Arabidopsis thaliana: one gene and its partner. The protein of the gene in region 2 interacts with the protein of the main gene of each other region in a pairwise test. Each region holds a gene or a part of one and is shown on either strand. Other genes may lie near its edges.

Evidence for each region.
Region 1: the proteins of ABCG13 (region 2) and AT1G49730 interact in a protein complementation assay, tested with the Arabidopsis thaliana proteins (one large-scale study listed by BioGRID).

The regions. Positions count from the first base shown.
Region 1 is NC_003070.9:18,401,655-18,407,857, reverse strand, and holds AT1G49730 (Protein kinase superfamily protein), read left to right. Parts: upstream 1-2,176; 5' UTR 2,177-2,219; coding exon 2,220-2,388; exon of another isoform or gene 2,389-2,755; coding exon 2,756-3,310; intron 3,311-3,379; coding exon 3,380-3,667; intron 3,668-3,747; coding exon 3,748-4,012; intron 4,013-4,096; coding exon 4,097-4,149; intron 4,150-4,230; coding exon 4,231-4,298; coding exon of another isoform or gene 4,299-4,343; exon of another isoform or gene 4,344-4,365; coding exon of another isoform or gene 4,366-4,402; coding exon 4,403-4,492; intron 4,493-4,568; coding exon 4,569-4,653; intron 4,654-4,731; coding exon 4,732-5,240; 3' UTR 5,241-5,352; downstream 5,353-6,203. Other genes in the region: AT1G49740 (PLC-like phosphodiesterases superfamily protein), read right to left, coding at 47-130; ABF1 (abscisic acid responsive element-binding factor 1), read right to left, coding at 5,496-5,581, 5,705-5,759, 5,845-5,916, 6,034-6,203.
Region 2 is NC_003070.9:19,075,717-19,083,333, reverse strand, and holds ABCG13 (ABC-2 type transporter family protein), read left to right. Parts: upstream 1-1,882; 5' UTR 1,883-1,998; coding exon 1,999-2,185; intron 2,186-3,767; coding exon 3,768-3,847; intron 3,848-3,931; coding exon 3,932-4,393; intron 4,394-4,467; coding exon 4,468-4,590; intron 4,591-4,672; coding exon 4,673-4,834; intron 4,835-4,921; coding exon 4,922-5,206; intron 5,207-5,288; coding exon 5,289-5,561; intron 5,562-5,656; coding exon 5,657-5,764; intron 5,765-5,845; coding exon 5,846-6,202; 3' UTR 6,203-6,496; downstream 6,497-7,617. Other genes in the region: TRO (TRAUCO), read right to left, coding at 7,114-7,379.

The DNA.
Region 1 (6,203 bases), 670 kb from region 2:
ACAGACACAAATGTAAATGTTGTAAGATTTGATGAGATTTGGTTACCTTGAGAGCAGAGGAAATCTCTAAAAGGAAAGAAGATTGGAGCAGAAGAGCAATGAGAAGGAAGAGTAATAATCTTTGAAACATGGCTGTCTTCACCAAAAAGTAAAAACCCCAAAATTTAAGAAGAAGAAGAAGAAGAAGCAAGTAGCTACTTCATCATCATGCTAGAATATAGATTTGTTGGTGGTTTGCATTTGCGTGAAAAAGATTCTAAGAAACAAATAAAATAAAGTAAATACAATGAGAGGATTTTAAGGATAAAAATAGAGTGAACGGAAGTGCGCGTGAGTCGGTGAAGACATGATGATAATAAATGCTGCAAAATTAGTGGGTTTGTTGTTGTTTTGGTCGCCACTTTTGTTTTTCATGGTCTCTTTTTCAAAACTCTTATTTTTTTTGGTTTTAATGCTAAGACCTTTTTCTGCCTGGAACTTTCTTACACAACAACAATTATAAGGGAAAGACATATCAACAACAATAATAAAATGTGAGTTATCTTGTAATTGTTTTTTACATAAGAAAAAAAAAAGACTTAAACAAATATACAGAATTTTATTTTTCTTTCATTTTACTAATACAGAAAGATGAAACGGCTTTGAAGCTTAGACGATGTTAAGGCAAATATGGCATGATAGCAATAGCCCAAACACTTAGAAAAGTTTGCACGCAATTGCATACCTTCTTTCCTAACATAGCTTCTCACGTCAATTTTTCCATTTAACTAGTTTCACATTCCTTCTACAAACCATTGATGATCCATTCAGCCGGCCCAATCATAGCCCACTTTGCCAACAATATCCTTAAACCAGTTCACACATAGTTTGGGTCTGGGATAGGTCTGAACCAACTCGAAGTTATAAATTACAAATCATGGAAAATTGGCACAAGGACGAGAATTTCAAGAAGTTTTTCTTTTTCAAAATCTTGTTTTTATTGGGTAGGTAGGGACCCAAATCGTCAGCTCTAATTCACACTCACATTTGTAACCACTCGTGAAACATTTTTTACATCCCTTCTTATTTGATTCTTTTGCCTTTTATGAATTTGCAAACTCAATAACTTGTGTAACCTTTTCGACTATCATACAATCTACACAATCATTCATCTAGAACCAGCTTAAGATTAGTAACAATTACCTAATTATTAGTCATTCCTTAATTACAAAACGGATCACAAATATTGCTTTTTATAAGATATCTATTCCGTATCCAACCCCTACATACAGAAAAAAGGTTCGGGCCGACCCTGCCTACATAAGACCGACCATATAAACGTTTTGTATATGGCATGGCATTACTGGAATGTTGTAGGAAAAAATTGCATACAATAAATCTAAACCTTTACAAAAATATTGCAGTTGAGGGGTCTGAGATATGACAGGGTGTTGCACATGTGAGTGACCCTACCAACGTTATGTAGACCATTTCCATTTGGGTTCACATTGCTACTTCCATCTCATTTTCTCGTTTTTGAATTCGGTCTAGAATTTATATCCAAAACTAAAACTGGGATGATTTAGGATCAATCCCAAAGCACTCGAGCCATTTTATCCTTATGTCGCTTTCGCTTCACCAAACACTTCATAAATGCTTGTTTGTTTATTTTTTAACAAGCAATATATACCTTTCTTCTTCTCCAAGATAAAGACAAAGGTATAATTATTCGTTTTATCACAAAGTAGAATATTTGCTTAGAAACTAATTATGAATTAACAATTGTTGTTACAAATTACAATCATACAACGGTTGTGTGTTTTTATAATCTTAAAAAAACGAATAAAAACAAACAAAAGTTAATAATTAACGAAATGGCATGAGACATCATGATACAAACATGCGACCTCCATTTTAATTTGTTTTCAGTTTTAATCCTACTACTAATCATGTATTTTTGTTGTGTTGGTCCAAATCATTTCACAGGAAAGAAACTAATCTAATACAAATTTCTGAATATCAAATTTTTTTATGTTTCCTTCAACATTCACAAGTTTAGTGTTGGTATGTTATGCATAAAAGAAACTTGTAGGTTAGAAAGGAGATGAAATGAGAAAGTTAGGGGCTTTTCTACAATTGTCTTCGTTTATGATCACGAATTGAATAGTTGACAAGTCTAAAATTTGTCTCTTTCCTTGTCACTTGTCAGTGAGTATACAAAACAATACACAGAGCCTCGCATGTCATATTCACACAGGGACCTTCCGTTAAACTCCTTTTTTATAATCTCGTTCTCTCTTCTCTCTTTCTCTCTCTGGTTGCTCTTGGCCATGGTTGTGAATAGTCAAGCTTTCTTGTTGGCATTAATTGCATTACTTGCTACCCAATTGCCTTCACTAATGGCTGCAGGTTTCTCTTTATCGATTTTCCTCTGTTTCTTTCTCTTTTAAAGCTTCATTATTTAATCCTGTTCTTGCCTAAATCAGGATAAGATTATGAATGTTGGATTTTGAGCTTCTGGATTTTGCAAATTTTGTTGCTTTCTTTGACTAGATTTGAGTTTCGATGGAAATTCGCATAATTTTGGTTCATTAGTTGCTTACATGCAAAAATACTCTCTTTTTAAATTGAAATCAGATCTTGAGAAACCATAAAAATTCAAACTTTGTTTGTTCTTTTCAAGCTATTGTGGTTAGAAAGTTAAAAGCTTGAAACTTGCGGACCAATCTTTATAGGTTACCAGACACTAATGCTGCATTGTCATGTGTGTTTGCAGATTGTCCATTAGATTTCAGTGGATCAAATTTCACTCTAGTAGCTACTGTGTGCTCCAACATAACCAACAGAGGCAAATGTTGCCGCTACATGAACGCTTTTGTTGCGGTGTCCGTGGCTCGTTACGCGAACTTGTCAACTAATCTTGGAGTCACATCAGATTTATCTGAAACCTGCATTGCTTCCATCTCTAGAGCCATGGAGGGCTACGGAGTCTCGAGAAACGCCACTAGTTTCTGCGGTTTGGGAACCAAGATCCTTGTTAAGTATGACTGTGACGGTCGAACCACTGTTACACAAATGCATCAGTCTCCGGGATTTGGACATGTTTCAAGAAACTGCAGACTCCCATTTTCGCCGGGACACCAATGCAGAAAGTGTTTGAACTCTGGCATCACTTACCTTCGTAATCTCATAGGTGCAGAGACTAATAACATTACTCTGTGTACTTGTCGTGATGCGACTTATGCTACATTAGCAAGCCGAATAGACGATACATCAGCTCTTGAACTCCTTAGTTGTTTCTTTCAAGTGACAGAGCTTAACATTCCTTCAGGTTAGACTCATGACTGCAATTTTCTTAGTATCTCATCAGTTTCTTTAGTAACTCATTGTGTATCGACAGAGTCATTTTCACCAGTGGCAAGTCCAGAACCTTCTCCAAGCACGGTTGGTGGTATTAGCCCAAGCAACAGTGATTCTCAAATGACTACAAGTAGAAGCACCAATCCATATCACTTAACAATGGTTCCAACCATTGGGATTGTTGTTACAGCTGTTGCTCTTACGATGCTTGTAGTCTTGGTAATTCTTATCCGTAGAAAGAACCGGGAACTGGATGAATCTGAGAGCTTGGATAGAAAGTCAACAAAATCAGTTCCTTCTTCCCTTCCTGTATTCAAGATTCATGAAGGTGTGAAAATAGAGAGTTGAGTTCTTTGTTTTATAATATAAGATACCTAAGAAATGACTTGAAAACGCTTTTTTCTGCAGATGATTCTTCCTCAGCTTTCAGAAAGTTCAGCTACAAGGAAATGACAAATGCAACAAATGATTTCAACACGGTTATCGGTCAGGGAGGTTTTGGTACTGTTTACAAAGCCGAGTTCAACGATGGTCTGATTGCAGCGGTAAAAAAGATGAACAAAGTCTCTGAACAAGCTGAACAAGATTTTTGTAGAGAGATAGGGCTTTTAGCTAAGCTGCATCACCGTAACCTCGTTGCTTTGAAAGGCTTTTGCATCAACAAGAAAGAAAGGTGAAGAACCATACATTGCTTTTTCGCCTTCTGCATTTATCTAAACCATAAGTGTTCTCATTTTATATTGTTTCAATCATTCAGGTTCTTGGTCTACGACTATATGAAAAATGGCAGCTTAAAAGATCACTTACATGGTATGTATATGCTTCTTCTACCATAAGTGTACGAGTCCTGAGTGTTGAATACTTTTCTTGTTTCAATTTTTTCCTTTGCAGCCATTGGAAAGCCTCCACCTAGTTGGGGAACAAGAATGAAAATTGCAATTGATGTGGCAAATGCTTTGGTAAATATTCCAAAGTCTTTCATCTACATTTTCTCTGTAAACTGATTTGATAATATATCTTTTACAGTTTTTGGTTCTTGGCTGCACGTTGTTCTCTCCTCCAGGAATATCTTCATTTCTACTGTGATCCTCCTCTCTGTCATAGAGATATTAAATCAAGCAATATATTACTCGATGAGAACTTCGTCGCTAAGGTATGTAGTACTGCACATCTTCTGTGTTAGAGAACCCTTTGGTATTTGGATAACTAATAATGTTTTCTTGGTGCAGCTTTCAGATTTTGGCCTTGCACATTCGTCTAGAGATGGCTCTGTTTGCTTTGAGCCTGTGAATACCGATATCCGTGGAACTCCAGGTTTGGGAGAGATACTGAACAGAATAACTTGACTACTTTTGATGGAAGCTGAGTTTTAAAAACTTGAAGTTTTTTCAGGTTATGTAGATCCGGAATATGTAGTAACGCAAGAGTTGACAGAGAAGAGTGATGTGTACAGCTACGGAGTTGTGTTGCTGGAGCTCATAACCGGGAGAAGAGCAGTTGATGAAGGTAGGAACCTTGTGGAAATGTCTCAGCGGTTTTTGTTGGCGAAATCAAAACACCTCGAGTTGGTAGACCCGAGAATCAAAGACTCTATTAATGATGCTGGAGGAAAACAACTTGATGCAGTTGTGACGGTTGTGAGATTGTGTACCGAGAAAGAAGGCCGGTCTAGGCCATCAATTAAGCAAGTCTTGAGGCTGTTGTGTGAAAGCTGTGATCCGGTGCATAGCGCATTTGCTAAAGCGGTTGAAGAAGAGATAGGCTGGGATAGTAGGAAGAGAAGCAATTTGAGAATTCAAAGAGGTGATTCCCGGATCTTTGGTCCATCGTCTAGTACTACTTCCAGGTCACATTACAGCCGGAGTTTACCTCACTCTCCAATTAACGGATTTTCTTTCTGAGTTAGTCACATCTTCTCTATAGCTAAATCTGAAAGTTTTACATATGTTTATGAAAATTATGAATTCATATTGAAAGCTCTCATACTCTACACAGACTGCACTCTTAGTTAAATTCAGCTCAAAAGATTTCTACATTGTAAGCGTCTCTGTAATTTCTCCTGTACAGTAGCACTATCTTCTATTACATATTACTCTCCCAGTGTCTTCCTTTTGAGTGGTCCTGTATTACATTAGCAGGTTCTTCTTGCTTTGACTTCACCTTCTTACCACGGACCGGTAAGGGTTCTTCTCAAGCATTGTCTTTTGGCCAGCAATGGAGGCTGCTTCGAAAATTCCTTTAGCTGCAAATTCAAGTACTAGTATCAGTGAACTGTGTGTCATCAAAATGACAATAGAGCTACATTTAGACAGACACAAAATGTCTGGTAATGTAGAGACAATGATGGTGTATACATGAAATATACATAAGTAGAGGAAAAACGTTATTACCTCACTATTATGGGTTTTCATTATTTCAGCCTGCAACATAGAGAGACCGCAGTTAAATAACTGAGCCAGCTAGACTCTCTATGGAGAAGCAATAAAAATGGTAGAAGAAAAAAACCTGTTTCTTCTGCAAATCTTGATTCACTAGCTTGAGACTTTCAATCTCAGCTTCCAGTTCCAAGGTATAAGCCTGAGGTTTAGCCAAAACATCAAAATGATTTCAAAGTTCTTGAAAAGAAAACGGTAATGGCAGTTTGGTTAGATGATATTGATATCAAAGTTTTTGAGAACAAAACGGTAACTTTACCTGTTTTCGAGCCCTTGATCTAGCAGCGGATTCCCGATTCTTGATCATTCTCTTTTGCCTTCTCTCAACAACCTTCTCCAGGCCCGTATTGCTTCTTCTTCCCCGACCAAACACGTAAGGAACTGGTGATGACCAAGTATTGTTTTCTGCACTGCTCGTCCCAGGAGAAG
Region 2 (7,617 bases):
AATTAAAAGCTAATTATATGTAAAATTCTATTGCACATATATTTTATTAGGATATTTCTAGCATTTATGGACCACAAGAAAATAATTATAGTTGTTTTTTTTTTGGTTAAACAAAAAATTGATTATAGTTATGATATGGAAAAGATGGAAGAAGTCATTTAATAAGTTTATCTAACAATCTATGATTAGGTTATCGCAGTAATGAATTTTCTTTCTTAGCAGAAATGAATAATTTAGTCACACTAACTACATAGCTTTAATTTCTGTTGATACAATTGAAGACAAGAAGACATAAACGTTGAAACAGTGTATTTGGTACTGTGTATGTGTTTGATTAGCACGAAACATGGTTAAAAACATCACATGGTTAAAACAAATCCGTCACCATCTGTTTTTTTTTTTTTTTTTACAACATACTTGTTTTCCATTCGTCATATCCGAAAGAGAATAAATTTGCAAGCTCTTCAAATTCATGGTTCGGTATTATAATCTTAAAAAAAATATATAAACTTACAATATAAATAGAACGATAGGTTTGATAAACAATAAAAATAGATGATAGGGGGCCATAAATAAAAACTCGAAAACAAAAGTTAAATAGCAAAATGCAACAAGCAAGCTCATGATGTGTCGAATACACTTCTGCAAACAATTTGGGGGAGATTAAAAATAGTCACTATAAAAAAAATCTTATGACGTTGAGAATCCGTCTTTTGCCTCAAAAATTACCAACACGAACCACATTGAAGCAGCAAGGAACATTGGACGGTTTCTTTCCAGAGGCAGAAACTAAATAGTATATCTCAATAAGAAATTTAACATACGACCAAAATTAATTGCTTTATAAAAATAATTAAAATATTAATGATAACCTTTTCCGTGGTTAATTTTCGGCCATTATGATAAAATAATTGATCCAATCATATGTTTACACAACATACTTAAAATTCCTTATATACTCTCTTGATTACTTTCTTACCAGTTACATAAACTCAATATGCAACAACTAGATTACTTTAATCTAAACGTTCTGATATACGGCCTTATGTCGATGTTAAGTTATATATATCACGTTCACAATGTATATAAATAATTCAAATAATTTTCCAAAAGTAATGGCGTCTAAATATAGTTGAGTTGAATAGTATAGACTCTCCTCATGGATTTGAATTTCCTCTGTGATTCGTTTGAAAAAAAACAATGTTTTGGAGTGCTATACTAGTTGATACACCCAACCAAATCGGAATTTTATAAAAAATTTGGACAAAATTACCAGAAAATAAAATTATTGCAATTTACGTGATATATACCCTAAAGTGTTATGTTTCCTTAAATCGTGTAACGAAACCATAAGTTTCTTATCATGCGGATGTCTGTAGCTCTCGACATATATAGTACCGAACGGGTCCAACGAGTAAATGAATATAACATCAAACGTCAATTTTTCTGTCACATGCCTCGTCTATGCATGCATGATAGTGTACATATATAATAGTTTCCTTTCTGTCTTTTACACTATTCTTAATCCACTTTTCTGTTTTGCATGGGTAGATATTTTGTTTTGGTTTCATAAAATAAATAGAAACCAATATCATTTAGTTTGGTTCGATTTTTCTTCGGATTCTAAATTTTTTTTATTTTATTTTAACTAAACTATATGTTTTATTTATTTTTAGTCATGATTTATTTTATATATCAAAAATATGTAACCGAATTTATTACATCTAGTTTTTTCCAATCACTTTCTTTGGTACAGTTTCGGTTTGACTCAAATTAGTTTAAACCAATTTGGACCACCCTAATTTATACATTTTTTTTTTCAAAGACCCTAGTTCTCTTAATACATTCACCGCACAACTTTTTATAACTATAAATAAGGCCACAAGCATTCACACACATTACACTTTTCTCTCCCAAAGAAACAAAAAAAAAAACTCTTAAGCTAGAACAAGTTTAAAACTCTTCGCTCAGTTTTCGATCTATCTAACAAAAGCATACATGACTACGCCGGAGGGGGCGATGTATGTGGCGTGGGAGGATCTTACGGTGGTGATACCAAACTTCGGTGAAGGAGCAACTAAGAGATTACTGAATGGAGTGAATGGTTGTGGTGAGCCAAATAGGATCTTAGCTATTATGGGTCCTTCAGGTTCAGGCAAATCTACGCTTCTTGATGCTTTAGCAGGTCCCTTCTCTCTCTCTCAGACACACACACCCATACATGTCAAGATTAGCTCGTCGTTTTTATTATGTATTTCTTTTATTGTTAAATGGTTTTCCTCTATTATATAAATCTCAAATAAGCTGAAGCAACATCGACCAACAATTAAAAGATATAGTTTTTAGAGGAATTTAACAACCAACCACATTTAGCTTTGAAACCAACATTAAAGGATGAGACTTACCCACTTTGAACCTAGTATTTAGTGAATCGTTCTATGTACTCTATATATATATATATATAACTATAATTAACAATATACATGACGTTATGTCTTTCTTTTAAAAAATTGTCCAAGGAAACTTTCTCAATATACTATGTAAAAAGTGTTTCACTTTTGGAAAATAAGAAATTTCTGTTTTCTTACATTAAAAAATATTCACAAATCTTTTAGTAATTTTTATTTGGAATTGATAAGGATTTCTGCCATTCGTAGTTAAATTTGAGAATATAAGTTAGAATTTATTTGTTAGATATATATATATATATATATATATAGGTGTATGTCTGTGCGTGGGTGGGTGTGTGTCCTATTCAACATAAAATATTTAATTATTATTAACCTGTAAATTCGTATGTAATCAAAATTAACTAATATGATACTTGATTAGTTTTTTGTATATTGGAAAAATACATTACTACAATAAAATTGATAACTTTCCTATTTGAAAGCAACAAACTATGTACATACTGTATCAGTATCACAATTTGGTGAAATGAAAATATTAACTGAAGTTTTTGTACTCTTCTGTAATTTTTTTTTTTTTTCTTCTGTAACTTTGACCAAACGTAACATATATATATGTAAAAGAAATTTGAGAGCATGATATAACATATTTATGTATCAAGATATTTATAACTATTGAAAAACAGTGCTATATTTATATCTAAGTTTCATGTACACGATGAGACATATATAGATATTTCTAACTTTATATTTATGGATTCTAGCTACCAATTTTATTTTTTAAGTATAGCTATATACTATCGGAGTACTAAATAAATATTAAAAAAAAAATAGTTGCAATTTTCATGTTCTTAATTAATAAATTTACATCGTCGTACATTTAGTATTGAATAAATTGATAGTTACGTTTCTCTAACGTAGACTATGTACAGAAATTTTGCAGTAACATTTCTTATTAAATCATATTTTAAATGTTAACCAACTACCAATCACCAATATTCTGACACAAATATTTAGGATTGCACGATCGTATCTTCATACCGACTTGCGATCTCTTCACAAGTTGAACCCGGTTTGGTGACTGGTCGGACTCTTTGAGGGATGTTACGTTCAATCCAAAAACAATCCAAATCGATTATTATTTTCTTGACCAAACCTAAATTTGATTGGATTAAGAAGATCTTTATTTTATGCTTATGACTAATCGAAACCAATTTAATTTTACTGTGGCTAATATTCTTGTAAAAGCGAAAAACCCAAAACCGGGTTATAAGATTGTTCTATCAATGCTATAAGATTGTTCAAAAACATGAAAGATTTAACATCTAACATTAAAAGGTAAATTTGGTGATGGTACAGGAAGATTAGCAGGGAATGTTGTAATGAGTGGCAAAGTACTTGTCAATGGCAAGAAGAGAAGACTTGACTTTGGTGCTGCCGTAAGAAAATTTATCTTTTCTCTTTAGTTTTTACCCTTTTACACAATCAAACTATTATTATTCATGAATGTCCTAAACTCTCAGGCTTATGTGACGCAAGAAGATGTGTTGCTAGGAACTTTGACAGTGAGAGAATCCATATCTTACTCGGCTCATCTCAGGCTCCCTTCAAAGCTTACCAGAGAAGAGATCAGTGACATTGTGGAAGCTACAATCACTGACATGGGTCTTGAAGAATGTTCAGACAGGACCATTGGAAACTGGCATTTGCGTGGAATAAGCGGAGGAGAGAAGAAACGGCTTAGTATTGCCCTCGAGGTCTTAACAAAACCAAGTCTCCTCTTTCTAGACGAACCAACTAGTGGACTGGACAGTGCTTCAGCTTTCTTCGTGGTTCAGATTCTTAGAAACATAGCAAGCAGTGGCAAAACTGTGGTTTCTTCGATCCATCAGCCGAGTGGTGAGGTTTTCGCCCTCTTTGATGACCTGCTACTTCTGTCTGGAGGAGAAACTGTTTACTTTGGCGAAGCAGAATCTGCAACAAAGGTAATAAGATAGAGCATTGGCAAGAGTATATAACCATTATGCTCATTTGTGTTGTTGTTGCTTCGACATTGCAGTTCTTTGGTGAAGCAGGTTTTCCTTGTCCAAGTAGACGGAATCCATCAGACCACTTCCTTCGCTGTGTCAATTCCGATTTCGATAATGTCACAGCGGCTTTGGTTGAATCTCGGAGAATCAACGTTTGTTTTCCTCTGCCCTTCTTGTTTTTTCATGAACTTACAATACTCTCAAGCTTTTGACCTCGACCTTTTACATCTGCAGGATTCATCTTTCTCTCTTCACCAACTACATGAAACTACAAACACATTAGATCCTCTGGATGATATACCAACTGCAGAAATTAGAACAACACTTGTCAGAAAATTTAAGTGTTCACTTTATGCAGCAGCTTCAAGAGCAAGAATTCAAGAAATAGCATCGATAGTAAGTTACGGTTACTACTTCCCTTAAAACTACAATGTATCACATAATGAGAGTCTCATAAGCACAGTTATAAACCTTGTGCAACAGGTGGGGATTGTCACAGAAAGGAAAAAGGGGAGCCAAACTAATTGGTGGAAACAACTCAGAATACTTACTCAGCGATCTTTCATCAACATGAGTAGAGACTTGGGGTACTACTGGATGCGGATTGCAGTCTACATAGTGTTATCCATTTGTGTCGGGTCAATCTTCTTCAACGTCGGGAGAAACCACACAAATGTTATGAGTACTGCAGCTTGTGGCGGATTTATGGCAGGCTTTATGACATTCATGTCAATAGGAGGATTCCAATCCTTCATTGAAGAAATGAAGGTAAAGAGCTAAACAGAGAAAAATTCTCTTTCTTCACCTAAAAACTTATCTTATGTTTTAGCATCTTTATTCCTGAAAACAGGTGTTTTCTCGCGAAAGGCTCAATGGACACTATGGGGTTGCAGTATACACTGTGTCTAATTTACTCTCCTCATTACCTTTCATAATCCTTATGTGCCTCTCCACCAGCTCAATCACTATCTACATGGTGAGGTTCCAATCCGGAGGTTCTCATTTCTTCTACAACTGTCTCGACCTTATCTGCGCGATTACAACTGTGGAGAGTTGCATGATGATGATAGCTTCAGTAGTCCCTAACTTCTTGATGGGAGTCATGTTGGGAGCTGGTTACATTGTAAGAGTGGCCTCTGTCGCTCTTTCACCTACAAGCTTTCTTATATCTCCAAAAACTATTCTAAATTGAAAACCGCTTTATCCTTCATCTCATAGGGAATTATGGTGTTAAGTGCGGGGTTTTTCCGATTCTTCCCCGACTTACCAATGGTGTTCTGGCGATACCCGGTGTCCTACATAAACTATGGTGCATGGGCACTACAGGTAACCAGGTTTTCTCAACTTTAAGATGCAGACTATATCGTCAAGTAGCTATCTTAAATGAGCATACCTGATAAATTGCAGGGAGCATACAAGAATGAGATGATTGGGGTGGAGTATGATTCTCCGTTACCCTTGGTACCAAAAATGAAAGGAGAACTCATTCTTCAAACTGTTCTAGGCATAAATCCAGAAAGTTCAAAGTGGTTGGATCTAGCAGTTGTGATGATGATTCTCATTGGGTATAGGATTGCCTTCTTCGCCATCCTCAAGTTCCGGGAAAAGGTTTTCCCAGTTATTCACATGTTATACACAAAGAGAACTCTGAGCCATATCCAGAAAAGGCCTTCTTTCAGAAGAATGACACCTTTCCCTTCCAGGCGATACCCTGTTCACCATGCTCTCTCTTCTCAGGAAGGACTTAACTCTCCACTGCATTAGAAGCATATACAGCAGGATGCAATTTCCATATATTTCAATATGTCAGATGTCACTCTCTTCAAACTTGATAAACTGTTTGTAGCCCGTTGTGTAAGGAAAAAAAAAAGAAAAGAGAGATACTATCATTCTGACTAATGAGATTTGTTTAGCATGAGGATGGTATCTATCAGAGATACATATATTGGAGAAAAAAGATAAGCATGGCTACATTATCAGATTACAAGTGATGCATGCATGAACCCCTAAGAGAGAGTCTACCAACGAACCACCGTAAATATATCAAATAAGGCACTTCGTTTGCTAACATAGCTTCAGAAGAAACTGTGTTATGGAAATCAAATAAACAGAAGATGGTATGGAGATTTGTTACCTGGCTGGCAGTAGAACACTGGTCCTTGCTTGATAGCACCAGTGACGCAAATCTATAATCTGTGCAGCACAAGAACAGAACAGACCAGGCATATTTGACTTTTATCACTAAGTGCCATGAAATCTCCTCTTTTAGCATATAGTTGATAGGGAATAGAATCAAAACTAACAAAAGTAACCTCCCAAAGGCGTTTGTTGAACAGATAGAGAACAAACAACGAGATACTTAAAACCTTAAAAGTGTAAAACCAAGCAAAAATGGTAAATTTTCAACTTTGGGAACCCAAATATAAGCTCCCAGAAATATTACATAGTAAGGAAAAAAAATACACAAACAATCAATAACTTTAAACAAATATGGCTAATCCAGTTGTAAAATCAGAAAAAACCAGTCTGATTATTTTAGAGTAGACATGTACAGAACTCATTTGTTGTTCATTTGCTACCCTATGACTGTTACAACTAAACTCATCCAAATCTGAACCAAGAACTAGTTTGGGAAAACTGTGTTAAAATGTCAAGAATACGCCTGCTGGTTCTGCCTAACTCTTCATATCCTCAGAACCATTAGTTTCAAGTCTACCATTAAATCCATGATATGGAACCTCCCACATCGGCCTCGGGGTAGCACGCCCACCAAAATCCTCAGGGAAAAACTCAAAACTGGGGCCAAAATTGAACTTCACAAGACAATTTGACTGGTCGGGAAGAGTGTACATCGAAGCAGCAGGGTAGTAACGACCGCCAACAATATCTGTGAAGGCCGCTCCCTGACATACACCATTTTTGAAGAACGATATTTCACTGCCTGCATCAGAAGTAAAGGTATCGTTAACGAAAGATTGGTCATTAATCTTCCAGAATTGCACAGATACCATCTACATCATAGATGTGGAGGGTAGCAAAAACAAAACTAAGGCATTTATCTTTATGAAGAATCTCCACTATCTATTCTCTACCAAACCATGATAAAGCTACCATCACAAGCAACAACATTCATACACATTTTTAGTCTACTTAAAACATATGCGACTACCAAAAAGCAG